Linked DNA regions of Alligator mississippiensis. The protein of the gene in region 2 interacts with the protein of the main gene of each other region in a biochemical or structural test. Links are inferred from orthologs where the notes say so. Each region holds a gene or a part of one and is shown on either strand. Other genes may lie near its edges.

Evidence for each region.
Region 1: of the proteins of CASP7 (region 2) and PTGES3, one has a biochemical effect on the other in vitro, tested with the Homo sapiens proteins (2 studies listed by BioGRID and IntAct). The link is inferred for Alligator mississippiensis from reciprocal best matches to the Homo sapiens genes CASP7 and PTGES3.
Region 3: of the proteins of CASP7 (region 2) and PANX1, one has a biochemical effect on the other in vitro, tested with the Homo sapiens proteins (2 studies listed by IntAct). The link is inferred for Alligator mississippiensis from reciprocal best matches to the Homo sapiens genes CASP7 and PANX1.

What each region holds. Positions count from the first base shown.
Region 1 is NC_081838.1:6,972,097-6,982,228, forward strand, and holds the start of PTGES3 (prostaglandin E synthase 3), read right to left. Parts: upstream 4,891-10,132; 5' UTR 4,860-4,890; coding exon 4,549-4,859; intron 1-4,548. Other genes in the region: NACA (nascent polypeptide-associated complex subunit alpha), read right to left, coding at 7,125-7,139, 7,563-7,685, 7,867-7,995, 8,194-8,340, 8,690-8,767, 8,944-9,029, 10,058-10,132. UniProt on the Homo sapiens protein: Cytosolic prostaglandin synthase that catalyzes the oxidoreduction of prostaglandin endoperoxide H2 (PGH2) to prostaglandin E2 (PGE2).
Region 2 is NC_081829.1:92,561,713-92,571,929, forward strand, and holds the start of CASP7 (caspase-7), read right to left. Parts: upstream 4,973-10,217; 5' UTR 4,945-4,972; intron 4,248-4,944; 5' UTR 4,187-4,247; intron 1,831-4,186; coding exon 1,718-1,830; intron 1-1,717. Other genes in the region: NRAP (nebulin-related-anchoring protein), read left to right, coding at 9,351-9,422, 9,945-10,039. UniProt on the Homo sapiens protein: Thiol protease involved in different programmed cell death processes, such as apoptosis, pyroptosis or granzyme-mediated programmed cell death, by proteolytically cleaving target proteins.
Region 3 is NC_081824.1:447,802,859-447,812,751, reverse strand, and holds the start of PANX1 (pannexin-1), read left to right. Parts: upstream 1-4,895; 5' UTR 4,896-4,944; coding exon 4,945-5,125; intron 5,126-9,893. UniProt on the Homo sapiens protein: Ion channel involved in a variety of physiological functions such as blood pressure regulation, apoptotic cell clearance and oogenesis.

The DNA.
Region 1 (10,132 bases), on a different chromosome or scaffold from region 2:
AGGACAGAAGTCTTCTCCAGTCATGACAACAGAGGGCCCTTTTCTCAATATGATACTTAAAGAGCTTTACTCTGATCCACAGGCAGAAGGGCCAACATCTTTGAATAGCATATATCAGAAACAGTGCAAATGGCAAGAAGTTTCCCTTTCCACTTATGCAAAAATTCAGTGCAAACCGCATAACACAAGAGCAGAAACTCCTTCACATGATATTCCCAGTTCCTCCCATGAGCCTTGCCTCCCTAGTTAGGGCTCACAGCCACAGAGCAGAGGACTCGGGTGAGCCCCCTCTGCTTCTACTCTGTTCTGGCCCAAACTTGGTACTCTGGATGCTTTGTGTCACTTCTCGTGCCACCAGGACACAAATGTTTCAGCTGCATGGAATGGGACATGGTTACGCAGAGAGGCTGTGTCAGAACAGAAGTCTCAGTGTCCCTGCTCTTCCTAAGGAAGAGAGTTTGCTGAATTCTATTGACATTTTGCAAGTACTGCATGTCAATGGAGATATCACCAGCCTTCTCTGAGTTATGTACGTTTCCTCAGCCAGGGCTGCTGGATATATTCCCTTGGCTTCTTTGCCAAGATTAACAGGCTTTTACAGGAACAAGGTCCCAACTGCACTATAATAGAGACCCTCTAAATCTGGGATTCACAGCCTTTATAGGCTCAAGGTACCCCTCGATAGGCTTTAGGCATGCCTTGGAAAGTGCCAGCTTCTAGTTTTCCCTCATCTTTTTTTTGTTCTTACTACAAAAAAAATAAAATAGAGCAATTCTTCAGTTGCAAAGAAGTCAGAAAGCTCACAACAGGTCAGGCCGTTTTTAATAATTAAGGTTCCTATTTGAAATCTCTGGGTGTGCCTTTTGGGGGTGCTGGCTGTAGCTGTGTTGGTCTGAGGCCATAGGGTTTTATCTTGCAAGCCATGCTTGCACACCTAATAGTGCTGCCGTTGTGTGGCATGCTGTGGCATCCTTGAAAGGAGTTCGTGGCACCCTGCTTGAGAGTCACCACTCTATGTCTTTGAAAGGATTTGCTCTAGACTTAAAAGGGGACAGCCCAATTCTAAGCTGTTCAGTGGAAGGGGAGGGCAGTAGCAGAAGGTAAAGCTTCAGAATTAAAATTTTAATTGTATACACTAAAAACCTCATCCTTGGAGGTTTTTAAGGCTAGGCTCGACAAAGCCCTGGCTGGAATGATCTAGTTGGGGCTGGCCCTGCTTGGAGCAGGGGTCTGGCCTAGATGTGACCTCCTGAGGTCTCTTTCAACCCTCATTTTTTATGATTATACAGTACATATTTGTCACCTTTCTAACCCAAGATTAGACAGTTAAACACTAAAGTAGGCTGCAATCCCCTAAAATACTTGCTGCAATCAGGTTAAATTCACCTTTTTCTTTTTTAAAGAAGCGCTGATGACCTTTTTAAGGACAATTAAGTTAAATCCTTCAAAACAGACTAAAGAAAAAAACCCTCAACCATTTAACAGAGACCTTAGTTTTTGGTTCTCTCATGAAGTGCTGCACTCCGTGATGCACAACAGGATGCTTCAACATGACTAGCAGAAGCTTCAGAGGAAGCAATGCAGTGCCATAACATATTTACATTACACGCCTGTATTTTAAGATTCCTGGAAGACGTGGACAGAGACCAGTAGTAAAATGCGCACGTTCACGTCAGATTGATTGAACACTTGTGCGGGAGGGTTATTCCACCACGCACACAAAGCTGTTATGCAGCACATTATCTACTTCCCCACTCGCAGCAAGGACCAGCCTCAGGACTTTTCAGTACTCCCAGCTGTATGCATTTATTATGCAGACCTATCATTTAACCCACCCCCCACCCCCAGCCTGACCCAGAGCATCTCACCAGAAATGTGCTCTGCTGCGAGAGGCAGGCAACACTAGCTGCTCTCATATTGCTTCAGATTTGCCAGGAAGGTGACTCGGGCCACAAGAGATGAGGTGCAGCCACCATGCTGGCTTTGTAAGAAGTCTAAAATACATTAGTTTTGTTCCAGTGCTCCACCCAAGGTGGTTTAATAATGCCACAAACCCTGCATGTCCCAAAACCAAACAGCCAGAAAGTCTTTCCAGCTTCATGCAACAGGCAGCCTGTCCTACCTAGGGTCCCCATGTTTCATGTTGGGCAGGGATGTTCTTTATCAGACAAACTCAAGCTTGGTGCTGACAGGACTGGATCAGAGCAGTTGCTTCTGGTTGCCTATGCTCTGAAATGAGAACTCAGCCTGACTGGCAAATTTACACACTCAACCTGAGCAAAGAGCGCGATGGTACTGCAGTGTGGCAAGCATCAGAACTCCTACTTTACCAAGTGACCTTTAATGATGTGATGCTGAATGCTGCTCCTGAAAGTTCAGCTGGCTGCTGCAGTTAGGCATTGTTTTTTAACTGTGCATTTAGCATAAAGATTGTACCAGTTTCCCCCACTTATGGGAGCCCTGCCAAGACAGCCAAGCCCGTGTCATGCCTGCTCTGGACTGCTGTGATGCACTCCACGTCAGTCTATAGATCACTGGAAGCTGCAGCAGTATAGAGAATAAGGGGAGCAAAGAAACGGGGCACGGGGTATATTAAACCAGGCCAGGGATTCAATGGTGGCACTCGCGTTTTGGAGAACTCGCTCCTAGATACAGCTCAAGGAGAGGCTATCAATCTGGAGATGCCCGCCTGGCCTAGCTGGTTCCCCAAATATTCCCTCCCTGCTCCATCTCCCAGCACAACTTGGACCAGCCATGCCTTTGTCCCTGCCCTAGTTTGGAAGTGAGCAGATATAATACAATAATGGCACTATATCAAGTTGCGATGGGATAAAAACCAACCCTGTTTTACTAGCTTTCTCATTACAATTAAATTTGGGTAGGAGAAATACAAAAAAAAAGTGATGCTGGATTAGTTGCACAGGAGTCATCGTCGGGGCAGAAGTTGGAACGAGTCAGCTAATCCAAGGAAGCTGACCAATCCCACACATTGAGTGGCCAGTCCCATGCCTGCTATTGGAGGCTGCTTCCTACCATCAAGTAAAAAGACCCATTAAATCATCACACGCAGTAACTGAAGCCATTTCCACCATGTGCTCAACTCCCACCCAGTTCACAAGGCACTGCAGGGTTTTTAAGGGCAACATTTGCCCTTATGAAATAACGCTTGACTCAGGGAAGTCGAGCAGCGTCCAATTCAGTGATCCTGCCACCGGTACGTCTAGAGAGTTAATACGTGCCCTGCTGTCGCTCCGTTATGAATGGCACACTTCAGTTTTGGGTCAGAGAAGCAACCGCAATAGACTCATAACGAAGCAGCTAATCAAGGCTCCCAAAGCCTGGCGAGAACCGTCCTGGCCAGGTCAGAGTCCCAAAACACCGGGTTGCTGCTGAGGGGCCTCTACGACGCAAGCACCAATTTGCCTAATCGGTGCTTCTCCGCTGGTGGGACTTGGCCACTGGCAATGCTGGGAGTCCTAAACGCAGTCCGCGAGCCTTTCACGTGTTCCCAGGGAGAACTGCTCCCGGCTTCAGCCCCCGCAGACTTGCCGGTGCAAACGCTCCCAAGGTTGCCGGCTCCCGGGGAGCCGCACCAGCATTACCAACTGCGGGGACATTTGGATGTCCCATTTCAGCGCAAGCAAGAGTCTTGGTCCTTAGTTTCTCCAGAATCAGGACAAGCTACTAATTCAATCCACACGCTCGTCACAACGCTACACGACTGAAGCTCGTCGTCACTGGCAGGCCAAGCCCGAGCGCAAGCTCTTCACGCGAGCAACCCCACGTACGCCTCCCCGGGCGGCACCGGGGACAGGCCGCGACTCATTGGAAACGATCCAGTTGCTTCAGGCGTGGAGCCGGTGTCCTTTGGACAACGGGAGCGCCTGAACCAGCGCCGCTTTCTGTGCTGAGCCACGTGCGTTTGGAGCCGACTCTTCTCCCCCCACCCGGGCGGCATCAAACAGGGGGCCTGAAACCACACTTGAAACGATGGGGGGGAGAATAAAACAAACCCTCCCACCCCCTTTGGACAGCTAATTGGGCATAGCAGCCTCCTCAAATCAGTTTGAAGCCCAGCGTAAAAAAAGCTAAGGCGGGTGGGCAGGCGGCTGCTGCCTGGAGCCACCCTCAGGTGTGGGGGGGGGCAGCCACCCCGGTGGGGGCTCCCTACGCCTACCAGCAACTTTCCACTCCTGGGGGTAGGGCCTTCCCCATCCTCTGGGGAGGGGACACCCCCCACCCCACGCACGTGGGGGGGCGGCCATCCATCCGTCCCATCCCCCCGCCCTAAACCGCCTGGCTCGGCCCCTCCCCTTTCTACATGGGGTGGGACACACACACACGTGTGGGGGGGGGGGCTCAAGGTCGCGCCGCTCGTCCCCGCCTCGGACCTCGTGCGAAGGCCGCCCCCGCCCCGCGCGGGGAGGAGGCCCAGGCCCGGCTCCCCACCGCCACAGGCCACGTTCCCGCGTGGGGCCGCCCCCCCCCACCCGCACGTGGCCCCTGAGGCCGCCCCTCTCCCCCCCGGGCGGGCGCGGCCCCCCTCACATGGCGCTGGCGGCGGTCGGGGCTCGGGGCCCGGCTCCGGGCGGGCGGGCAGGGCGCGGCGGCGGCGGCGGCTCCTCAGGGCTCGGGCTCGGGCTCGGCCTGGCCTGGCTCCCACAATACCCCGCGCGCGCTGGGGCAACGGCGGCTCGCGGCGCTGGTGACGCAGCAAAATACCCGCCGCGCGCCCGCCCTCCGCTCCCCGCCTCCCCTCGCGCGTGCGCGGCCTCCGGCGCCCCCCCCACCCTACTACGCCTGCGCCGCAACGGCCCGCGGCTCTTTCCACTCCTTTCTAGCAGCTTCTCGGCACGCATGCGCGGCACTGGGGGAAAGGACGAGAGGCGGCCGCGGTTGCCGCGGCAACGCTCCCCCTTCCTCCTTCCGGGCGCGGTGGAGGCTGGGAAATGGAGTCCCCTGGGCGTGGGCGGCTCTGCCGCCTTTGCAAGTAGGAGCAGGGCCGATGGAAGGGGGTGAAAGGGTGCACAGGCCCGGGGACAACAGCTGGGGATAGCCCCCTGCCCCCCTCCCTGGCGCCCCCAGGGCCAACTGTCTCCTGTAGGTACACCAGGGCACCAGCTAGGACTCCAGCCCCAGCCTGGTACATGGCCTGGAGTGCTAGGGCAACCTCCCTATTTGCTTTGGGCGTAGGACACTGGGTTGCTCAGAACCACCTTCCTCTGCTGCAGGTCCTGGTCTGTCCTGAGCTTCTGCATCTGTCTGTGTTGGAGTGGAGCTTCCCACTGCAGAGACCTTGCCAAAGAGCTGCTGCTGCGAGCGACGCGCTGCTCTGCGAGGCTCGTTCCTGCAGGAACCGCGAAGACAGCTGCCAGTAGAGATAGCGACGCATGCGGGCTGCACGGTTGCCTGCTCTTCCTCAGCAGACCATGAAGCAGCCTGAGTGTAGAACTACTCAGGATGTAGCACAGCCTGCCAGGGTCTTCCACACAGCCCATGGGTGCCCATCAAGCTCCTTGTTTTGCTCCCAGGCAGCAAAAGGAAAAGCCCCCCCGCCTCTGTTCTAGAACAGGACGTAGCAGAGCCCATTGTCCCTCCTCCGCGTTCTCCAACATTGCATCTTTTTCCAGGCAGTGAGCCTGTGCACAGATCCAGCCCTGTGGGCACCCAGCCAAATCAGGCTTCAGGCCGATCAGGGCAAAGGACCAGCAGGAAGACAACCGACTAACACCTGCTGACAAGAATCACCTCAAGCCCCCACCAAAGGGGTATGGGGAGCTCTCTTCTCTTCTCATTCCTCTGCTGCGGCCTACGAACGCAACCTCGTGTGCTCCAGGCCACTTGCAAACCTCGTTGCTCCCCTCTGGACCATCCTGCCCCTGCACCTCACACTTCACTTTCTTTCCCAAATGTTGCCACCACATCCATCTCGCTCGGCCTGGCTCCCCCCTCCTCCAAGGCTTCTTATAAGGGACTTGCTTCTCTACCGCCTCTTATTAAGCTGGTCAGACCACAACCACGTCTCATTTCAGCCCTCGTAGTTCTGTGGGCCACGAGAGCAAGGCTTGGGAAGGTAACAAGGGGCTTCCTGTGGCCTCCTGCCAACTTCATTTGAGGTTTCTGGCTGGCACTATGCTCTGCACTGGAGCTAATTGGGTTTAAGACAGCTCCTGTCTTCCATTTCAGGATACTTAAGACACTTTGTGGGGTAAAGCTGCACCCTTCTCCACCTCCTTTCTGAACCCTGAGGACTCTCCCCTGAACCACAGGCAACAGCTTTCTGGATAAGGCCAAGCTGGGACCCGCAGGCCTGGGGGAATGAGAGAGACAAGCGAAGAGCTGGGCTTTTCACTGCGCTGCACCGCCCCAACATGGCACGTTTAAAATGGCAGGACCTGTTTTACCGCATGTCCAAGCCTCGGGCAGCAGGGCTCCGTGGTGCCACTGCAATAGAAAGACGATACAGTGACAGCAAGTCCAGGCAAGGGCCACACCACAGCAGGTGACTCAGCAGGCTGCTGGCAGCAAACTCCGAGGAAACCTCCCAGCAAGACAGCATTCAGGGGGGAATTGTTTGTGTAATTACAGGGCCGCCGGCTCGTGTGGCATCTCAGTGTTTGCTGACGTCGTCCCCTGGGGTGAGCTCACGCGTTTCCGAGAGGATTTCCCATCCATACAACCCTGGCGTCTGGGTCTGGAGCGACGTGGAGAAAGCACGATGTGAAGGCTTGAGAGCCAGGAGGCAAAGGGGTCGGGTTTAAACCCCTCACGTATGGCAGCCCAGATTTCTAGGGACTTGGCCCCAGCTCTGAGTGACACTCCACAGACCTGCCTGCTGGGACGTCAAGTTGAAGACCAGTGTTCCCTGCTCAGGAAACACACCCAGGGGCTAATGCACGGGGGTCCTGCTGCCTCACAGAGGACGAAGGCAGGGGAACAAGGCGCATCTCGGCCCCCCACGGGCTCAGCTCCTCTGGGAAGTGCAGAGTTCAACCAAGAAAATAGGAGGGTTTCACCAACAAGAAGCCACAACGTTTATTCCTTGATAGAAATTGTACAAAGGTTAAATCTAGCTGTGATCGACTCTGCTTTGAAACACCAAAAAGGTTCCTCCCTTCCCACGGCTACATCGTCAACTCCTGCAGAAGGGGAGAGAAGGGGAGAGAGGGATCAGAGGCTGCCCCACGTGGGGCAGGGGGATTCCTGTGAAGGGGGCAGACAGTTCTGAGCTCTCTTGATTTGATATGGGGCAGTTAGCAGCCTGGCACCTCCCCCCACTGGCTCTCTGCCTGGCCACAAAGCCCAGAGGGGGCTGGGATGCCTGGAGCCGTCCTGTTTGCCCCATCCCTGCCAGGTGGTGAGGATGGAGAATGAGGAATGCCCGAGCAGGGCAGTGCCAGGCTGGCCCTACCGAGCAGAGGTGGGAAGGAGGCATGGGCTCTCAGAGGCATGGCCCACAGGGCTCCTGGCACCACTGTCCATGGCTGTATGTCCCGGGGGAAACCCGCTCCCTGCTGCTCTTCACTGCCCCACAATTGGTGCCTGGCCACAGGGACACTCACCATGATGGCATTTACGATGTCGTTGCTGTTGTTCTTGAGGGCGCGCACTGCCTTCGCCCGGGACACGTTGGCCTGCGACATGACGAGCTCAATGTCCTTCACCTCCACGCCAGTCTCGTCCACCTGAGCAGAGAGAAGCAGGGTTGGCTTGGGGGGCATCAGGCTGACACGGGGTTGGCCCCATGAAGACAGCATCGCTCAACCCAGGGTAGGGGCAGGGAGGGGGAATGGCACCCAAACAGGAGTAAGAGCCCCAGTTCTCAGCATGCTCTGCTAGACGCAAGGGCCAGCTGTGGGCACACACCTCCTCCTCCTCGCTCTCCTCCTGCACTGTGGGCGTCTGTGTGTTCTCCTGGATGTTTGACACGGCTTCTCCTTGCACCTTGAACTTCTCAGCGGCTGCCAGCTGTGCTTGCTGGGACAGATCCTCGATCTGGGGGAAGAGGCCGTGGTGCAGTGAAGCTGTTGGGGGGGCTCTGCGGGCATCCCCAGAGCCCGGCCACCACCCCGAGACAAGGTGCCAAGGAACACTCCTGCCTTGCCCACACCCACGGAAGAAAAGTCCCCGCCACTGCCACCACAACCCAGACATAGGTCAGTGAGAGACAGATGGCCCAGACCGCCCCCGCACCTTGGCCTCCCCGAAGACAATGTAAGTGTCTGACGCGGGGCTCTTGTACACGTCTGGCTTTGTGATGACGAAGAGGATGTTCTTAGATTTCCGGATGGTGACCCTGGTTACTCCTGTGACCTGGCGAAGGCCCAGCTTGGACATTGCCTAGAGAGCGAAGGGAGCAGGGAAGTATCGGGCTGGGGCTCATCGTGTCCCAAAGGGCTGGCACAGCCTCAGCACTGGACTGCTATAGAACCACGGTCAGAGATGGGGGGGTGAAGAGGGAAAGTAGAGGCCAGGTTTGGGCCTCCGTTTTACCATGGGACCCTGGGCTGACTCAGTGTGCTCTAGCTTCTCCCACAGACAGGGAAACTCAGAGCTGTGGGGGGTCACGAGCGCCCTTGAGTCAGGCTGAGGCAGGGCTGAGGCTGGGCCTGACTTCCTGCTGCCAGGCTCTCCCAGGCTGCCTGTAGGGGGACCGCACAGCTTGGACCACGTCAGCTCCTCCTCATACCTTCCGTGCCTTCTTTTCGCTCCGGCTCTGTTTTGCTTTGCTGACGGGTTCTTCATCTATTTCGGCGGCTGCTGCAAGCTGCAGGAACACAGGCAAGAGGACCATCAGACAGCAGTGGGGGTAGGCCAGTTGCTCCCATTGCTGGAGAGCTGCCCATGAAGCCCAGGGCTTATATCATGCCATCCACATCTTTCCCAGGTTTGCGCCCATCCCCAGTGCGGTAGGACCCTCCTCCCGTCTGGTGGGACCCTCACCTGTGCCTGCTGTGTTGTGGCCTGTGTGGAGTCCTGCTCCTCGAGCTCTGGGACGGATTCGTCGCTGTCGGACTCTGTGCCAGACCCTGGGGAGAGAAAATGGGTGTCAGGTTTCCCAGCACGGAGCGAGGGGCAGGCAGGCCCAGACAGAACAGCCAGACCTGCTCAGGCTGGGCCCCCACCGTGGTGCTGTGAATGTTGGATCTGTGGTGCTGGGTGCCCAGTTTGTTCTCCAGGCCCAGTGGATTACAAAGGCTGTGCCTTTCTCAGGACCCAGCTCGAGCCCTGACAACACAGTGCCATGTGCCAGACGCCAGCGTGAAGGTGGCTCCGGTCCCACCAGGGAGTAGGCCAGCGTAGCTCATGGGAACCAGATCCGATTCTCTTGGAGCCCGGCCTCTTGCTGGCTCCATTGGTGAGGTCAAACCCCCTTCGGGCAAGATGGCTCTGGGTCCTGTAAGCCAGTAGCTGTGCCAGGCCCTGAAGTCCCAGGACTCAGGCTCTGCCAGGGGTGAAGCTGGCACAAATCTCCCTGTGAGCAAGGCAGCAGCTTGGTGGCCCTGTGCTGGCACCACCATAGTCTAGATACAGCCACAAACAGGTAGACTGGCATGTGCCCTCAGCCTGCAGGGCACGCTCGAGTGGCAGCTGCAACCCCCCACCCCCCCGAAAGGCAGGGAAGTGGATGGATGTGGCTGACACAGAGGGAAGCCAAAGCAGTGAGCACCTGCCTCATGGGCAGCTCCAGTGTCTGCATCCTACCCTGACCTCTGAAGGCCTTGGAGTGACCCTGCAGCCCCAGATGCAGAGGCAGGTGGGCTAGGGAGGGATGGGTTAGACACGCAGCAGACGCTGGCAAAGCAGCTGCCTGGGGCTCAAACCGGGTGACTGGGAAACAGAGCTGAACTCCCCCGCCCCCCAAGCTGTGTGCATGTGTGTGGGAGCCCTGTTAGTGACACGCAACACCATGCAGCACCCGCAGCCTGCCTGCCCACCCTGGCCCAGGCAGGCTGTGGGGATACCACCCTCTAGACTACCAAGCCGGGTTGTGGGTTAGTGCACAGCGGGTGGCTGGGGACACTCCATGCGCACAGCACACCCAGGCAACAAATACCCTTGTCATTCTTCAGCACAGGCGGCTTGGCCAGAGCCGGGGCCGCAGGAGGAGGAGCGGGGACATCGGCCGGGG
Region 2 (10,217 bases):
CCACCACCGTCCTCATTTGCACCTGTCACTTTTACCACGCCTCTGATTTTAGTTGCCAACAGATGCCCCCAAATCTGGTGGAGGGCATTAAGTATGGGGCAAGGTTGGGGGGGAGAAGAGGTGGCACACCACTGATAAGCCCCCAGGCCACAGTTTACCCCGTCGTGTGCTGCATGCAGCTCAGGAGCTCTCAGCTGCACAGCCCTGCTCTCTGGGTAAGGTAACGTTTCCCCAGATGTTCCCAAAATACAAATGCCTGGCACACTGGGCAGTTACGCTGCTTGAAGCATTTCTCAGCACATAAAGACATTGATTCTTGTCTTCCACTAAAAGTGATAAACTGCAAGTAGCAAAATAATGGAACGAGACTATTTCCCCATAGAGAGGAACAATTTTGCTTTTTAAACACAAGTTGCATTAATTTCAAAATATGTCCTTAAAAACTGCTGCTCAGGTTTTGGAGGCAGAATGTCACATCCTCTGCTTGTATCTGCTAGCACTGCAGGTTGTGGGTATAATCTTAAACAGGAATATTTACATTTTTTTTAGAAGTGCACCAATGGGAATACTTGACATTTCTATGACACCCTCCACAACAGCTTTCCATTGCTTTCCATTAATTAAGCCTCATAAAACACTTCTTTAAGAAAAGCAGCAGGAAAAGTTTGAAGCTACTTGCTGAACGTCAACTCTGCAACTCTGCTGCAAGAATACTTAGCTCTTCTGACTCCTAGGTAAGGGTTTTAAACCTTATACACTCTGTGCATTAACACATTCTTCATAATTACAATGTAAATAAAAAGCCAAACGCCTTCCCTTTGCTTGGTCAGGGCTAGGCCATTCACTTCAAGGTTGTATAGTGCAGAGGACATAAATTATAAAAGCCCTTTTTAAGAAAAACACTAGCACCAAGAAACCCTCAGCACAAAATAGTCTTTCTCTCACTTTAAGGGCCGTTAGAAGTTCCAGATGGCTATTTTCCCAAAAGAAAAGGTCTAACATAACACAGACGATACTTCCTACTTCCTATGAAGTTATGGTAAGTAAAATGATGCTTCAGTGGGGATTGCACTCCTTAAAATTAAGGTAAAAATGATTCTGCAGCTCCCAAGAAGATTAAGTTCTTGGGTAACAGGCTACCTCCTTGGCCCTGGTGAAACTTTTTGGAGGGAGATGGGTGTAGGATGTCCTAAGTAGCCTGTTGGGGATTCTCATGATGCAGAATATCCAAACTCAGTGCAGTGAAAACAGTGCATTCAATTCCCAGTTGCTACCCCCATTTAAGAGCCATGTGAGAAGCAAGAACCAGGCTGAAGTTCAATGTACTTAGGTAACTTCTGACTTTCAAAAAAGCCTTAGGATGGTTATTATTAATAAAATCTGAAACTAGCCAACTAGGATTCCTTCTCATTTTCACTTTGAATCGAGGCAGTAAAGGGAAGGAACATCATGCAGCACAGTCTGCATTTCTCCTTGCAGTATAATCAATTACTGTCTAGATAGAAAAATGCTTTGCTGGGGTGCAGAGGATGAGTATGTCTAGTCAAAGGTAGCACTTTTGCATTTATCTTTCCAGACATTTTATCAGGTTTTTTTACTAGATTTACTATGTTTGCCTCCAGCAACACTTGATGTCCTCCAAAGTACAGAAGAACTGGACACAGTCCACTTCAAGCAGGCTTGCCAATTGAATGGACTTGAGAAAAACATTGCTTACTTTCCAAAGATGTGCAATCTCTCACTTCTGTCTGGCCTTGCATCCACTGTATCATCCAGCTCTTCAGCCTCCATGTTCAACTGAGGCCCGTCAGCATACAGCTTTTCTGCCATCTACACAAACAAATTCAAACAGAACTCGAATGTAAGTAAGTGTCCTTCAGGGACTGCTATTACTGTTGGAACCTGTCTATAAAAAGAAACCTAATAAAAAACACCAATCATTAAACCAAATATATTTTCTAATAAAATTATTAAGCCAGTTACACTGTGAAATATTGTACGATTTTTGGATCTTCCAATCTGATACTGTGTATACTCAGTTATCCCCGTTACATTTTTTTGTAGTTATTAAAAGATGACTTACACCAGGGGCACTGAACCCCCAGCTGTGGGCCAAATCTGGCCCTGTGTCATCCATCCCGGGGGGCTCCCCATACGCCTGGAAATTTGGTGGTGGGAGAGGAGTGGCACCACTGCCAAATTCCTGGACCCATGGGGAGCCCTGGGCTCTGCACTGGATCCAGCACCCAATTCCAGCATGCAGGGCTGGGTGGGGTAGCACCAGGCCCAGGGCCCCATCCCAGCACACAAGGGACTAAGAGGGTGCAGCTCCAGGCCCCAAGCCCGGTATGGAAAGCTAAGAGGGGGCAACACCAGGCCCCTGGGACTCAATCCCAGTGTGCTGGGGCACAGTTGGGTGGGGGTAGGCCCCTGGGGACAAATCCCAGCGATCAGGGCAGGGACAGGGTGGTGTCGGGCATCCCAGGGCCGATCCAGGCTGCAGAGTGGTCCCTCCCCACTCATCTGGCCCACAGGACCGAAAATTTGAGCACTGCTGACTTAGATGGAAGGGTGGGATATAAAACGAGTCAATAAAATCTGTCCACAAACTGCAACTAGGTTTAAAAAATAAAAAAATGATGGCAAAATGCCTGACAGCATGTTTTTAAGATGTTTTCTGTGGATTGAAAACAAATATGTTTGCAAAGAAGCAGGAAACACTTGGAAATTAGACACCAACTTATTTGTTATTTGTGTAGCTATAACCCAAATTGAAAACATCCAGAAAACTCAGAAAGAAATGCCCTCAAATTCTCGCACGGAGGCACATGTACACAGGCAAACTCAACTGTCTGTATACAGAAAAATTCTGAAAACTGTTTTTATAGAGATAGACTCAATTTTAATTTTCTTTACTTTTCCCATCACATTATGCATCTTATATTTTCCTAACGTTGAGGTTTTATTTTTATTTAAAAAAACCAGAAAACCATATTTTTCTTTCATTAAAAAGCACATTACTCAAAGACATCATAGCAGTCTTTTATGTCAATTGATATATTTGAGTCAAAGCCTGTTTTAAGATGTGTATGCTGAGAATACCTTTCCTAAGGTCAGTGGAGAGGTTTCCATTGCACACTAGAAAACACACTCTTTACTAGGTTAAAAGCTTATTTCTATTTTAAGTATTAGCCAGCAGACTACTTGTTGCTCATTCACATACTTAAGATCCATTCCTGAAAATGCTTGCTCATGCAGGCAATCCTTACTTCACGTCATCCTATTGAACTCAACTGATAACAGATACACAAATACACTTTTATTGCTGATGCATCATCAGGACTGTGGAAACCAGACCCAGAGAGCATTAATCTGAATATCACTGTCCTTTCAGCCTGTAATTGGAAAAGTAAGGTAAGGGAACCCCGCCCTCCCAGTTGTTTCCAGTCTCAGCAGGTTTTAATTTGACTTCAACAGAAAAAGCAATGGTATGTGATGGTCTGGGGTAAATCTAGTCTTGTTTAAAATAACTCAGTAATCTGGAAAGAACATGGATTTGCAAAATTGGCAGATTACATCAGATTTAGGTAAAAGAAGGAAGAACTTCAGCAGGACATGAAGTCCCATATTGCACTCCCATGCTAAGGAGGGAATAGATTGAAATATCTATGCACACGCAGGAAAGCAACACCTGGGTGTTGTTATCGCTCAACAAAAATAACTGAAGAGCATGCAGCAACCAGCTAAATGGCAACTAGGCGCACATTCACTCCACGCCACTACGGTGTGAGCAGCGCTAACCGAGATGTGCCGTGCTGTGCACGTTTCCTCCCCAACCCTCGGAGAACTACACAACGCCAACTTTGTCCCTTGTGATTGGACGCACAGGGCATGTCCCCTCCCAAGCACTGCGCTGGAGAGCCCTGCAAGTCCTTAAACCAGGCAGGACAGGTTCTTTGCGGAGACATGATCTCTCTTATTAGACCAGCTGAGTAGTTGGAGAAAAGTTTTGAGCAAGCTTTTGGGTGCAGTCACCCTTTGTCAGGCATAGGGAGCCTCTGCTGGTCTGAGACTCCAAGGAGCGAAAGAAGCTAAAAGTGTGGCAGGCTGTAGGAACGAGGAAGAAATGGGTAGAATAGGTAGAAAACAAGGCAAAGCGCGGAGATGAACTGTTCAGTATACGCACAGGGAGCACCCAGTTTCCTCGCTGTTCCCTTCAGAAATCGCTGCGTGGCGTTTTTCTGCTCCTGCACAGATAAGAGTTTTAATCAGAACGTGGCTCGATGCCACGTCCTCAAAGCTTTGCTGCAAACGTGTCCCCAAAGCCCAGTCCTTAAACCAGGGGCGGGCAATTATTTTGGGCCGCTTACTGAGTTTTACCAAGCCGTCGAGGGCCGCAAGACAGCCGGCCCGCCCGCCCGCCTGCCCGCAGCAGATTAATGTTAATTTTCTAAATTGTTTAGGGGCCCCGCGGGGCTGGCAGGCCACATCCAGCCCCCGGGGTTTATTTTGCCCACCCCTGCCTTAAACCCGCTGAGAAACTGCAAAAAAAAAAAAAAAAAAAATTAATCTTTTTTGCAATTTCCCCGTCGGTGTAATAAAACGTATCCTCTCTAAACCAAGATTTTTAGGGGTCTCACCCCTAAAACTAACCACCCTTTCTACACGGCGGCGCCCCTGGCTACATGCAAAGCGCCAGCTCGTTTTCGGATGAGGGAAGAATCCCAGGGGTGGGTTTCTCTTGCAAAGATGGGAACACTTGTCCCTAAATTCCCACCCCAAAGTAATAAGGAGCAGGGCTGCTGCCAAGGCCTGAGCAGCGCAGAGCGGAGCGGAGCAGCGCAGCGGCGCGGGCGGCCCGGGGGGTGTGGGTGTGGGTGTGGAGGCAGGGGAGGCAGGGGGGATGGATGCAGAGGGGCCGGAGGGGCCGCGCCCGACACTTGCCTGCGTCCCGCGCCCGCTGCAGGGAAAGAGAAAGCGAAACTGGCCCCGGCTGCCCGCCCCGTCCGGTCCCGTCCCGCCCCCGCGCAAGCAAAGCCCGCCCTGGCTTGCCTCGAGGGGAGGCAGGCTCCGTGCCCTTCCCGGGCACTTGCACCTGGAGCTGATGTTGAAGCAAAGGGCGAGCAAGCAAAGCCCTCCCGGGGTCAGGCACCTGGCATTCATGCCTAGTGTCTGTGTTGAAGCAAGGGCAAGAGGCAGGCACTGTTTCCATCCCTGATATTCATGCCTAGGGGTTAGGTTGAAGCCAAGGGCGAGAGAAGCCCTCCCTGGGCTGCCCCTTATGGAGACAGACACCCTTTCCATCCGAGGCATTCATGCCTAGGCCTCATGTTGAAGCAAAGGGTGAGAAAAGCCCTCCCTGGGTTGCCCCTTAGGGAGACAGACACCCTTTCCATCCCTGGCATTTGTGCCTAGGGTTCATGTTGGAGCAAAGGGTAAGAAAAACCCTCCCTGGGTCACCCCTTAGGGAGACAGGCACCCTTTCCATCCCTGGCACCCTTTTCATCCCTGGCATTTGTGCCTAGGCCTCATGTTGAAGTGAAGGGCAAGCAAAGCCTTCTCTGGGTCGCCCCTTAGGGAGACAGGCACCCTTTTCATCCCTGGCATTTGTGCCTAGGGCTCATGTAGAAGCAAAGGGTAAGAAAAGCCCTCCCTGGGTCGCCCCTTAGGGAGACAGGCACCCTTTTCATCCCTGGCACCATTTCCATTCCTGGCATTTGCACCTAGGGCTAATGTTGAAGCAAAGGGCGAGAGAAGCCCTCCCTGGCTCACCCCTCGGGAAGACAGGCCCTTAGCACACAGCTTTAGACCCCCCCCTCCCCAAAACCGAGGGGTGCTGAGGTACGCGCCGCTGAGGGACCAGACCAGGGCTCCGGGATGCCCGTCAGCAGGCACAAAATGAGGGGATGCCTTCCCAGGGATCTGTGTGGTTTGCTCGGAGCTGTGGAGGTTTCCTACCAACCTCGCCCTGCCTTTATTCACTGTGGCCGTCACTCGCTGGGAACTCGCAGCCTCCGAGTGCTGCGGGTCACTTGCCAGGCAGTTCGGTGAGGGCAGAGTCCTGCTGGGGATGTTGGGGTGGGGTGTTCACTCCCATTGAAAATGTGGTAGAAACCTTGCCTTTGGGGGTTAATTGCACACGTTGATTGTGCACGGTAACCCCCAGGTCTTTTTCTGCAGAGCTGTTGCCCAGCCAGTCACCCCCAGCCTGCCCCGGTGCATGAGATTGTTCTGTCCTAAGTGCAGGGTTTTGTACTTGTCCTTTTTGAATTTCCTGAGATTTCTTTTGGTCCAATCCCCCAATTTGTCTAGGTCTCTGAATCTTAACACTACCCTGCAGCATATCTACTATTCCCACCCCCAGCTTGGTGTCATCAGTGAACTTGCTGAGGGTGCACACCAACCCATCTTCCAGATAGTTGATGAAGGTACTGAACAAAACTGGCTCTAGGACTGACCCCTGGGGCACTCTGCTTGATACTGGCTGCTAACTAGACATCAATGGATTACTACCCTTTGATTCCAATGAGTCACCCAGTTTTCTATCCATCTTACAGGCCGCTCATCCAACCCGGACTTCCTTAGCTTATTTGTGAGACTGTTGTAGGAGAGGAGACTGTATCAAAAGCCTTGCTAAAGTCAAGGTATATCACATCCACTACTCTCCCCATGCCCAGAGAGCCAGTCATCTCATCCTAGAAGGCAGATCAGGCATGACTCGCCCTTGGTGAATCCATGCTGACTGTTCCTAATCACCTTCTTCTCCTCCAAGTGCTTAAAAATTGATTCCTTGACAACCTTCTTCATAATTTTTCCAGGGACTGAGGTGAGGCCAACCAGTCTGTAATCCCCTGGATCCTCCTTCTTCCCTATCTTAAAAATGGGAACTATATTTGCCCTTTTGCAATCATCAATTGCCATGAGTTTTCCAAGATAATGGCCAGTGGCTCTGCAATCACATTGGCCAACTCCCTCAGCACGCTCAGGTGCATCATGTCCAGCCCCATGGACTTGTACACATCCAGCTTTTCTAAATAGTCCCTAGTCTGTTCTTTTGCCACTGTCAGCTGCTCACCTCCTCCCCAAAGTGTGCTGCCCAATACAGTAATCTGGGAGTGGACTCTGCCTGCGAAGACAGGTAAAAAAGGCATTGAGCACTTCAGCCTTTTCAGGAGTTTTTAAGGAGCAATCTCCTGTTTTCCCTAATGAAAAAGGGCAACTTACTGACAATACGGACGTGATAGTGTCTATGCTTTTGCATGCTCTGCATGGATTTTAGGACAGCAACAGTCCATTGCGGGGGTTCTGTGGGATCAGTTGTTAGGATCACTTGTGCAGGCTTTATGTCCCTCCATTAATTTTTAAACATATTCTTTTAGCTTTTAGTGCACGGTCAGTGAGACTGCAAGAGCCTGTGGCTCTGGCTAATTTGTCCATGCCTCGTTTTGCATTCTTCGTTTTTCCAGGATTTTTTAACTTAATGCATTGTAGCTGGTAATACTCGGGCAGGGTGAGGGTATCCTATTTGAATACCCATGCATTCTGCAAGCAGCAATAATTCAGTTGTTGCCCAAAAAAGACATTTTCCATATTAAATGAAACACAACTTTATTGTCCTTACAGTGCAACCAGAACGAATAGTGCCTCAAATCCATACATTGACAATATTTGGGACACTGAGAACGGGGTCATTGAGTGGGGTTAACATGGAGGGAAAAGGGAGATAAAACTTCAGACCTCGGTTGGTGAGAAGGGTTGTGGCGAGCAGCTTCCCCTCTTTTTGGCTGCTTGGCAATGTTGGGTGCTGGATTAGCATTGGAGCAACCTAGTATGAGGTTTGAGAGACTGAAGGAGCTGGGTCTTCACAGGGAGGAGGGAAGGGGGTCTGTGGGGTCCCAGTATGAGGAGGTCTCCATGGGATGGGACTAGCAAACCCTGTGGCTGCTGTGCATGCTGTGGGCTGCCAAAGGAGAGAGCAGGTCGAAGGCAAGTGACACCTTTGCCAGAGCAGACTCTCCTACAATGTATGCCTACTCATAATGTCTATGAGTTGTTGCTGTCCTACCACGTCCATCTGTATTATCCGCTCTGTGCGGCCAGCATCTTCTAAGTTTCCCCTGACCCACGTGAACTCCATTCTCCTCCAGCTTCTTATTTAATTAGTTACCACAGTGCGCTCTTGGCGGCTTTGCTCTTTTCCTTCTCCCACCTGTCTTTCTCCTTTTCTTGCCTCAGAAATGTGTGCCATTCCTGAACAACCCTGTGACACTTCACAGAGGCATCCCCAAGCTCCTCCAACATCTTCTTGGTCTCTTCTTTACTCACAAGCTGAGCAGACCTTGGGGAGGGTAGTGGATAATGCTGGTGTGCCTGCGGGGGTAGATCTTACAGCTGGTGATGCTGTGGGTCCCTGGGAGCTGGCAGGTTGACTGCCTTGCCGTGCAGGGGCTGGGCGGCACACATGGTTTTTAGATATCCCAGGGTCCCTGCGCACCTGGATCTTCCAACATTGTGTGCGCAGCCCAGCTGCACATGCTTTTCTTTTTAGATGTCCACTGAGACTGGGATCCTTTCCCAGGGTCCTGGCCATGTTTTGCAGCTGCCAGGTGAAGGTGGGGGGGACTTGATTTACTCCCCCTGTCCAGCAGTTGCAAACCCATGCCTTGGGTCCTGCTAGCAGTGGCATCATTGGGATCCAGTCTCTGATCTGGCACATGTGGCATGTTAGGAGGTGCGATTGCTTGGGTCAGGGATCAGCTCCCCTTGCACCATTACGTGAACGTCTGCCAGCTCACTCTGAGTTACAATGTCTTCCTTGGGCTCCAGCTACTATAAACAGGAATATACATAAGACACAAATTAGCCCCCAGTGAAGTCATTCATTGTACATGGGGGAGACTAGCTACTACTTTGATAAGCTGCTGCTGATGATGTGGCCTGTATCTTTATCTCCATCCTGGGGTTATGACGACTAATCTGAAACATCGAACTTCAATACTGAATGACCAGATTCTGTCATTCACATAGACATGATTTGTTTCTGTGACTTCACTCCTCTATTTAGAGAAAGATGTTGCTAACACCTCCCCTTCTGTATGTACTTACACAGTTGCTAAAATAATCCCTCTTAGTAACGGGCATCTTTAAAAGCCAGCTAGCAGCTGACTTTGAAACAGAAGGTCAACCAAAGGAGCAGAGACTTTGCTTCAGAAGTTTAATGAGAGCAATTGATCATAGAAAAGGGGCTTTACAGAACTATCTGGAGTGTTACAAACAGGCCAAAAAGTCGTCATCATCTTTTGAAGCTTTTGTGTGTATAGATATATACTCTTTGCTCTGTTGGTTTCAAGATGAATGTTCAGCCGTGTGCTAGATGTGGCTTTGGGGTTTACCCTGCTGAGAAGATTAACTGTATAGATCAGGTCAGTACACACACTCTCTCTTGATCATTTTGGAGTTTAATAGATATATGCAAAGTTACTTACTAATATATGGTTTGATCATGCTCCTGCTGGAGTTGCAGACTGAACTCCTAACCGTATACATTCTTTATTCATGGTGGCTATCGGAGTGAAGGTAAGCTTGGTTATGAGTGTTTTGGGGAAGATAATTAAAAATGACGAGGTTACAAACTTGCAAAGATAGTAATTTATCTTACTATTAAATTACCTACTATTATCTTACTATTTTTTTATCTTGCTATTTTTTAAATTCTTTTAAATTACTTACTATTATTTTACTATCTTACTATTAAATTACTTACTATTATCTTACTATCTTACTAAAGATAGTAATTTAGTGTCCATTTAATGCATGCCATTTATGCAGTGGTAAATGGCTATTTATGAAATGGACAGAGGGGTCAATGCTGAGGTTTAAATATTGCTGGAATAATAAGGACATATGAGACACTTTCACTATCTTTTAATCTTTTCTATTCCTAGACATGGCACAAAGCCTGTTTTCATTGTGAAATCTGCAAAATGAAGCTAACAGTAAATAACTTTGTTAGCCACCAGAAGAAGCCTTACTGTCAAGCGTAAGTGTACTTACTTTAAAAAAAAAATCATAATGGCTTAAAACTTGAATTACCATAATTTTAATTGAAGATCAGCACTGGGCAGCCAACTGGTCTTCAGCTGTTCTATGGAACTGGGTTAACTCCGTTGACTTCAGCAGAATTGCTCTGGATTTACATATATGGCAGAGATCAGAAT
Region 3 (9,893 bases), on a different chromosome or scaffold from region 2:
ACCTTGATAATTTTTTCAAAGACTTTGCCAAGGATGGAGGTGAGACTGAATGGCCTATAGTTGCCTGGGTCCTCCTTCCTCCCCTTCTTGAAATGGTGACCACGTTGGCCCTTTTCCAGTCCTCCGAGACCTGGCCCGCGCGCCACAAGTGCTCAAATATTCCCGCCAGTGGCTGCGCAATGACGTCAGCCAGTGCCTTCAGTACCCTTGGATGGAGCTCATCTGGGCCTGCCGACTTAAACACATCCAGTTCCTCCAAGTGACTCTGCACCATCTCAGGGTCTACGCATGGTAGTCTGGTGCCTTGCTGCTGCCTCTCTACAACCCCAGTGAGAGCCTTGTCTTGCCCCTCGCTTAGGAACACTGAGGCAAAGAACTCATTGAGGAGTTCAGCCTTGTCCCCCCTGTCTGTCACCAATTGCTTATGCCCATTTAGTAGGGGTCCTATTCCTCCCTGGGCCTTCCTTTAACTCCCTATATAGCTGAAAAACAATTTCTTGTTATCCTTAACTTGGGATGCCATCTTCAGCTCCATGGTAGCTTTGGCCTGTCTAACTGCCTCCCTACAAGCGCAAGCAGAGGATGTATACTCCTCTTTGGTAATCTCTCCCCGTTTCCACTTTTTATATGCTCCCCTTTTAGCCCGTAGGCTGCTCTGGATTTCTCTGGTCAGCCAGGGAAGCTTTCTGGCCCCTTTCCTCTGTTTCCCTGCATCAGGATCGTCTCCCTCTGTGCCCGAAGGATCATTTCCTTAAGGCACAGCCACCCTTCCTGGGCTCCCATCTCTTCAAAACTCCTACTCTGCAGTGCATCCTTGACTAATCGCCTGAGTTCATTGAAATCAACTTTCCTAAAGTCTAGCACTTTCACCCTACTTGTTACCTTACCCACTCGATGCCTTATGATGAATTCTATTATTTGGTGATCACTGTCCCCCAGGTGACCACCGATCTGTAGGTCCCCTACCATGTCATCCCCCGTTGCCAATACCAGGTCCAGTAAGGCATTCCCCCTAGTGGGACCATGTACTTCCTGCGTCAGGTGGAGGTCCTGTACACAGGATAGGAACCTGCATGAACGGTGGGACTTTGCTGTCTGCATCTCCCAGCAGATGTCTGGGTAGTTGGGTCCCCTATGACTACCGCCTCCTTAGTTTTTATGGTCTCCAAGAGCTGCCTCAGGAGCCCCATATCTAGCTCTTCCCCTTGGTGTGGGGGTCTGTAGCAGACCCCTACCACCAAATCCCTTTCTCCTTGACCCCCATGTAACCTAACCCACAATCCTTCTACTTTCTCCTCCTTCGATTCCGTCTTGATAAGGGTCGATGTATATTGCTCATTGACATAGAGCGCAACCCTTCCCCCTTTCTTCCCCACCCTGTCCTTTCTGTACAGTTTATAACCCTCAATATGTACCACCCAGTCGTGGGAAGAATCCCACCAGGTTTCTGTTAGCCCTACTAAGTCATAGGTGTTTTCTGCAAGCAGGAGTGCTAGTTCATCCTGCTTGCTCCCCATGCTCTTAGCGTTAGTGTATAGGCACTTGAGCCCTGTGACTGGTGCCTTTGCTGCCCCCCAGCTCTGATTCCCATATACTGCTGTCAACTAGGATGTTAGCTCTGGAGACACAAATCCACAGTTTGAGAACAGAAACTAAGCATCACAGAGGTGCTTAATGGGATCTTCTAGACTGAGCACTGAGTCCCATTGGGTAGAGTGGTTTTCTTTAATCTTTACTAATCTATAGATCCATAAGACCAGGCTCCTAATATAGTCCTGTTGCAACCTATTTATAAAACTTTTCTAAACAAGTTACATGAATATATTGTCTCAAATGATATATAATTAGAAGTTGTAATCCCTATTCCATGATATCTTTGAGCTTTAACATATCTTAAATTAAAACTATCTTTATATAGCATGTTAACAACAACAAAAATCACAAAAATATGATTAAATAAAAAAATGTGATTTAAATAAAATAAACTCCATTTTACATTTTTTTTAATTGTTGATTTTTATCCATCCTCTCCTAGAGCTAAACTTGTCTCACCCTTATGGATGGCCTTTTTTCCCTGGGTACTGCTTCTCTGCAGTCAGCTTCCCTGACTGCCTGCTCAGGCTCAGGGACCTTTCAGTCACCTGGCTTTGCCCACCACCATGCACAAGAGTATCTGTAATCCAGTGGTTCCTAAACTGTGTGTGCATGGGTGTGTGTGGGGGAGGGTGGAGAACTGGGGTGTGTGGGAGTATGGTGGGGTGTGGGGTGTGTGGGGGCTGTGGGAGGATGGATTTGGGTGTATGTGGGGTCAGGTGGAGTGTGTGTGGGGGTAGGTCCTCAGAGTCCCTGGTGTGAGCAAGTCTCTTGCGCCACAAGTGTCAGCAAGCAGGGCCAGACATGCCCAGCCCCATAGCACGCAGCTCCTGCCTGAGTCCCTGGCTACACATGGCAGCACATGTGGGGCCAGCCGCACCCAGCCCCATAGCGCTCCTGCTCAAGTCCCTGGCTGCACGGAAGAGCAGCATGCGGGGCCAGTCCCACCCCGCTCCATAATGCACAGCTCCATCCGGAGTCCCTGGGTGCACATAGTGGCAGCAGGCAGGGCCAGCCCCACAGTGCAAACTCCAGCCCTCCTGCAGCATGCAATGCCAGCCCAGCCTGGCCCCATAGCATGCAGCTCCCCGTACTCCTGTCCCCTTTCCCCCTCAGTGGGTGTCTCTGGCCCCTGGCCCGGTAGGGCCCTTACCTGAATTCCCACTTGAAGGAGGAAGGCTGGGAAACAACTATGGGACTGACACCTTGGGGCTGGCATGGGCCAGGCCAGGCTGGGTTGGGGGGTGGTTATTTAGCAACCAGAGCCACATCTCTTGCGTGGAGGTGCTAGCTTGCAGAGGGGCAGCCCAGGGCCAGGCTTACGGAAGGTCCCCACAGGCTGGATGGAATTGCCTGATGGGCTGGATATGGCCCGCGGGCTGTATTTTGCCTGCCCCTGGTTTAGATGGAGGAATTTTCCATTTTTCCCCTGTACAAATAAACAGTTATCCCACAGTTACAGGCAGGATATGGAGGCAGGGTAGATTTGCACCTTACAGGCTGACGAAACCAGAAATGCATAGCATAAGCTTGTGTTAAACAGATCACTTTACCTCATTCAGTGCTTCACCTGATGAAGTAAAGCCATCTGTTTAACAAAAGCTTATGCTATACATCTCTGGTAACCTTTGTTTGTTCTTTGGCTTACATCTCTCCCTGGCATTTACTCCCCATAATGTATTTATAGGAAGCAAACATACACCCCCCCCTCCCGCCCCACCTTTATTTTACTTGAACAAAGCAGCAGGTTTTTTTGTCGTCTTTTGTAAAACAGACATTAGTCTCCTGATTTTTCTGTCTGAATTCATCTTTCTTGAACAGGGTGACCAGAATTGTATGCAGCCTTCCATGAGAGGTCTCACCAGTGCTTTGTATGGTAACAGATACTTTCCTATCTCTGCTGAAAATGCATCTCATGAAGTAAACCCACTGCTTATGAAAGCTTATGCTATGCATCTCTGATTTAGTTAATCTACAACAGTGTGTCTCAACCTTTTTTGACTCGAGGCATCTCCATACTGCCTGTGAATTGAGCAGCACGCCACTTCAAAACCTAATTTATTTGCATCCACGGCAGGGGCTCCTGGCAAAGGGTGCAGGCAGCAGCCACGGAGGCAAGCCTGAGCCTGTACTTATCTCCTCACACCTCAATGCACCCTTCAGAAGATCTCATGCTACCCCAGGACCCCTGACCTCCTGGTGGAGAATCATTGGTCTGCAGCAGAGGTTCGCAAACAGTGGTCCGTGGCCCACCACTGGTCTGTGAGCTCCATTTAGGTAATCTGCAGAAAGGAAAATAGGAGTTGTGTGCTTCGATTAAAAAGTTTATTAAGTGGTCTGCGAGACCCTCAGCCATTTTCAAGTGGTCCACCAAAAAAAAAAGTTTGAGAACCACTGGTCTATAGGATGCAAATCTAACCTGCTTCCTGCCTGACTTCAGACTACCAGGGCTAATACCTCTGTGTTTATACCGCCACCCAAAGTGTATAAACCTCTGGGTTTATACAGTCCCACCCAAAGTGCGACTGTAGCATGGACATGAGGGGTCATGGTGAGCTCCCACAGGTGGCAGCCATGCTGTTGGCGGCAGGAACGTGAGGTGGCGAGGGGGAGCTCCCGCAGGCAGCCGCGGCGGTGTCAGTGATGGACGCTGACTGGTGGTCCGTGACTGCCTGCGGATAGCGTCGGCAGTGGCCAGCAGTCCTCGCAGACTGCCCACATACACTGCCAGCGGCGTAAGCAGCAAGGGTGGGGGTGGCGAGTGGCGACTGCCCACAGGTGCTGCCGGCAACGCCTTTTTGCAGAGGGTGCACGTGCACCCACTTCACATTGCCAGTGAGTGTGGGCACACATACCCTCCCTGGCATTAATCTGGGGTAGCCAAGATGCAGCTTCACAGGCTGCAGTGATACCGCCTGGGCCTGCACGGTCCTCACACGCCAGCTTTCTCGGAGCGGACTGAAGCCATGGGGACTGGCAGCGGCAGCCCAGACACTCAGGGCACCGCACCTGCAGGCAGAAGAGCAGCGGAGCCCTCCTGAAAACACCCCAAGTGGCCAGTTACTGGGCCAGCGCCCAGATCCGTGCGCTGGTGTCGGGGGGGGAGGGCGGGCAGAGGGGAGAGAGCCCGGGGGGCTCGCAGCCTCCAGCGTTGCAGGACGCGACTCGGAGGCCGGGCGGGCGCGCGGGCGGCTGCAACCCGGTACCTCGGCTCCTTGGCGGCGGGAGGCGGCCCCGCCGGCGGGCAGGGGAGGGCGCTGCAGCCGGGGCGGGGCGGGGCGGGGCGCGCCGAGCCGAGCCGAGTCGAGCCGCCGGGCGCCGCCGCAGAGCAGTGGAGGGAAGCGGCGGGCCATGGCCATAGCGCACCTCGCCACCGAGTATGTCTTCTCCGACTTCCTGCTGAAGGAGCCGGCCGAGAGCCGCTACAAGGGGCTGCGGCTGGAGCTGGCGCTGGACAAGATCGTCACGTGCATCGCCGTGGGGCTGCCGCTGCTGCTCATCTCGCTCGCCTTCGCGCAGGAGATCTCCATCGGTAACGCGGCCCGGCCCGCCCGCTGTTGTGTCTGCATCGGCCCCGGCCCCTCGCTTCCCCTTTGCTTCTAGCCACGGAGTCACGTTGCATTAGGGCGGGTTGAGGTCTCTTAAGCCCCCGGGAGTCTGAAGCCAGGCAGGAGGCAGGGTGGATTTGCCCCCTATAGACTGGTGGCTCTCAGACTTCATGTTGGAGAAGCTTGCTTCGTGTTTACTTGGCGAGCGCGTTAGGGAGGGGGCTTTTCTGGGAGGCTGTGGAAGTACCGCCGCGCCCCTCTTAGCCATGGTCTGCTCTGGAGGTGGTCAGCGCCGCAGAAAGGACCTAGGAGCGGGTCCGGAGAAGGGCAGCGAGGGGCTCCGGGAGGAGGCGAGGTGCGGTCAGTGCAGGAGAGATGCTTGTGGCGGGGCAGGAGAGTGGGTTGCTGAATCCCAGACGGCGAAGAGAAAGTCAGCGGGGATTGATTATGGACTCTGGCAAGACTAGAGCTAAGGGCGCTGATACACGAGCAGCAAGGGTGCTCTGATACGCTCCAGTGGCAGCGTCGGGGCAGACTCAGTCAATTGAGTCTGATAGCAGCCTCCAGCATCTCGTGTATCAGCATCCCCACACGTAAAAATGGCAGTGGGGGTGCTTTATCTCAAGCTCGTTTGATGAGCTTTACATAAAGTCCCTCAACCAACATTTTTAAGCCCAATACATGAGACGCTCCGGGCGTTTTAATTAGAGCTGCTCTAATCAAAGCACCCCCCTCTCCCACTTCGGGAGCACGTGTATACACGTAACGAACCAAAGGAGGTTCTCTTTCACCCAGCGTGTAACTAAAGTGTGAACTCGTCACCAGGAGTTGTGGGAGCTGATACTTTAGCTGGCGAATTCAAAAAGGAATGGGACACACTCTTGGAGGAAAGGAAAATGAGGAGCTGATGAGCACTGGAGTGCAGGGCACAGCCTCTGAAACAGGACTTCCTAGCCCTTAAATGCTGGAGGCTGCAAACCAGAGATGAACAGCGGGGATGGGGTGGAAGAGCCCTGGTCAGATCTAGTTCACTCTCTCTTCCAGCATCCACTCTCTGCCCCATGTGACGGGCAAGCGGGCAAGATGGACCCATGGGCTGACCCAGTAAATGGCTGTTCTTGTATAGCAATCCAGGCAAAGCCCTGGCCGTCTCTGCTCCATCGTTCTCTTTCCATTCCGCCATTAAATGATGTTACATTTGGAGGGGAAAAAATGTTTGATTGTTATGTTTACGTGTGTTCTTTGCTGGACTTTGACATTACAGTATATCGGAAGTGCTTTATTTTACGTGCTGTTACCTTTGGCATGTTTATGGCCCTTCGAGTATCTGAGAACCTTACAGTCTGTAGCATGTTTATGCTGAGAGACTGCAGGTGACGAAGGGCTTTTATCCCAATTGTGTATGTGGGGAACCAAGACACAGAGTGACCCAGTGACTTACCCAAGGTCAGAAGGAGAACTCAGAGGTGAAATGGGGGTCTCATCTCTTAAGCCCATGCTGACATCCCAGCTACTGATCTATCTTTTTTCATGCTTTTTCTCTCCCTGCTCTGATTGTCTGTTATTAACAGCAGCATTCTCCTAAACGTGATTATAGAGGTCAAATGTCTTTGCCATTGATTTCTCAAATGTCACGTTGCTTTTCTCAGTCCCAGAAAAATGGTCATGCACACACAAGATTAAAGGGCAAAGGACATGTAAGTTACTCATGGTTTATGACGGGGGTTCCCAGATTCTGTTCCATGGATTGTAAAAGCCCTCCCACCCCCTTTCTTTTCAAAGTTTGATGCTACGGATGTATGGTTGGCTGTGATTAATTTTGTGGCATGACAGTGTTCTACAGACTCCAGAAGTGATCTGCAGTATTTGAATGGAGCCTTTATGATACAGTCCCAAAGAGGGGGTAGATACTTTTAACTGTAGTACCCCAGCGGGAAATCAAGACTGTACCATGGGGGAGACCATCCATCCCTGAGCTTGAGGCATGGCCTGTTTGCTCTCTCCTACCGCCCCTTCCTTTGGAAAGATATCCCTGCCTGAGTGTGCACAGAGAGCTCAGTCCGTGCAGTCTTACAACTGCAGGGACTATAACTGGCCTTTGGGTGGGTGGCATGGTCCCCTCTGCAACCTCCACCACTAGCCCTCCCAAGGCAAGTCACAATCTTATCTGAACTTAAGCTGTAAATTAGAAAATTTGTGACTTAACTGGTAATAGTTTTAAGGCCTGATCTGGCAAACATGTAAACTTATTGATGGGACTAGTCCCACTTGCTGTAGTAAGTGTTCTGAGCCAGATTTTAGGTGTCTCAAATTTGTGTCTTGGATCACCTAGTATCGAGGGGCATTTATAGATGTGCAGCTCCAAGAGCCATGCTAATTAAAGCGCCAGGAGCATCATGTGTATCAGTGTCCCCACACTGAAAAATGGCGGTGGAACGCTTTGAGCTAAAGCTTTTTGAACAGACCTTTCAGTGCAGAGATACTTGTGATGCTAGAGTCTGCTAGAGAAATGCATGTGATGCTAGAGTCTCCTGGACCGTGGTAATTACCACGGTCCAGCAGACTCAATTAATCATAATTACAGCACGTTGAAGCAGCCTCCCCACATATGTATAAGAGCTCTAGGTTCCTGGCTTCTCTGTTAGGTGTTTTAGGCTCCCTATTCAGGATGGGGGGAGAATCGGGCATCTTAGAATTAGGTCAAAAACAGGTAGCCAACTGAGTGGGGAGCTGCCTAAAGGCAGCATCCCACTGCTCTGATGGCTACAGGTAGACAATAAGGAAACGCTGAGAATGGGGGGAATCCAAAATCTCAACCCTCAGATGTCTTACTTGGGGTAAGAGGGAGGCACCTGTGTCTATTTGGGACCAACCAATCACATAAGATCTTAGGAAAATGGGGCTAGAGGGGATCTTATGAGGTCATCTACTCCAGCCCCTTGCTCAAGGCTGAATCATCCCTGACTAAGATAGGCACCCATGTCCTTTCTTTCAAAGAACTGAGTAGACTTACTGTTTGAAAATGTGAGGGATGGCAGGGAGCTACTTCTGCCTTTATATAATAGTTTAGTGGCCAGATCACTCACCCAGGAAATAAGAGACCTGGGTATAAGACAACTTCTCCCTAAGGTAGAGGTAGGCAAAATGTGGCCTGCCAGGCCATTCTATCCAGCCCATGGGGCCCCTAAAAATGTTAGAAAATTAATATTTATCTGCCCCTGGCTGCCTGTCATGCAGCCCTTGATGGCTTGCCAAAACTCAGTGAGCGGCCCTCTGCCTGAAATAACTGCCCGCCCCTGCCCTAAGAGGATTCAGATCCACAGTTCCCAGGAGAGTGTCCTAAACACTATGATACAGGCTGTGTGTATGTGGGGAGAGGTCATTTTCCACCTCATTTCTATGTCCCTGTGCAACAAATAGAATAAGATTCACTGGGCCACAGACGCTGCGTAATAGAGACCATTGTTCATGGGTGTGGGAGGGGAACAAGCAGAGTACAGACCTAGGTTCTGACCTATGCCCCAGGACTCTTTCATGTATTATTTTATTCAAGTAATTGGATAAACTACAGTCCTGGGAATTGTTCACCCCAGCCCTTCTCTTCCCTTCCCCCTATCCCCCCAGCAAGTATCCTGACAATTAGGCTATGTAGTTCTCTGTTTTATGCTCTCCCTCTAGGGCCACTGAATTGTGCATGCTTTGCTGCCCAGTGTCACAGCTGCACAGCAGGAGGTATGGAAAGTGTCCTTCTAAGAATATCCTATCACCTCCAGGCATGGGAGCTGGGGGTTTGATTCCCTGTCAGAGAGAGGAAGAGTCTGAATTTGGCCCTTCCAGGTATAAGTGGGGAGTTACCATCTCTTCTTTGAGATGCATTTTAGAGCAAGTTGTGGTCATCATTGCCCTTAGTGCCTCATGCTGTGATGTGTGTTCAACATGCTCAGAATCCACCTTCTGGATCAAGTCTTTCAAGGAAGGAGCATTTAGTTCCTTGACCCTGATGAACTTTATCTGAGCTAGGCACTGTGCTGCACTGCCTAGCCATCAAGCTGCAGGCAGTTCTAGACATTTGCAAAGGCCCAATTCACAGCACTTGAAAGAAAAAAGAAAGATGACTGAAGTTTAGGTGCCTCCAAGGTTAGGCAGCAGCTGAGCAGGAGTTTTCACAATTTCAATTTTGGACTGGGGTGCCTAAATTTTGCCTCTTGTTAATCAATCAATCTACTGTGCTGTAGTGAACTATAGGGTGCATCCTTTTATAAGCTATCACTATAGGGAAATAGTGTTGGATGAACTGTATTTTATGTTTCTCATATGTAGAGTAGATAAGTAGTAAATTAGAGTTAGATTCTGAAATCATTCTGTGAGGGAAAGTCACATGGAAGTTCGGGACTATTTTCTGAAGAAATATCTGACTGAAAACTGCCTCCTTAACCACATAATTTGGTTTTTATGATTATCTCCCAGATTTCCCTGAAATCTCCCAGAAAAAATTATGTGGAATTTATGATTGATGATTGCATGTGCCAGGTCAAGATTGCTTGCACACATGCTTCTTGGCTCTATATCTTTGTACTCTGTTTCCAAAAAATCCTTAAACAGGAATTGTGATTTAAGCACAGATTCTTTTAATTTCTGGGAAATTAGTGAGGGGCTTTCCACATCCAAAAGATGACACTGATTTACATTTTGTATCCAACTTTGTAAACAGTATTGGAGTGTTTAGTTTTATAAAAATTATGCTCTGCCTTT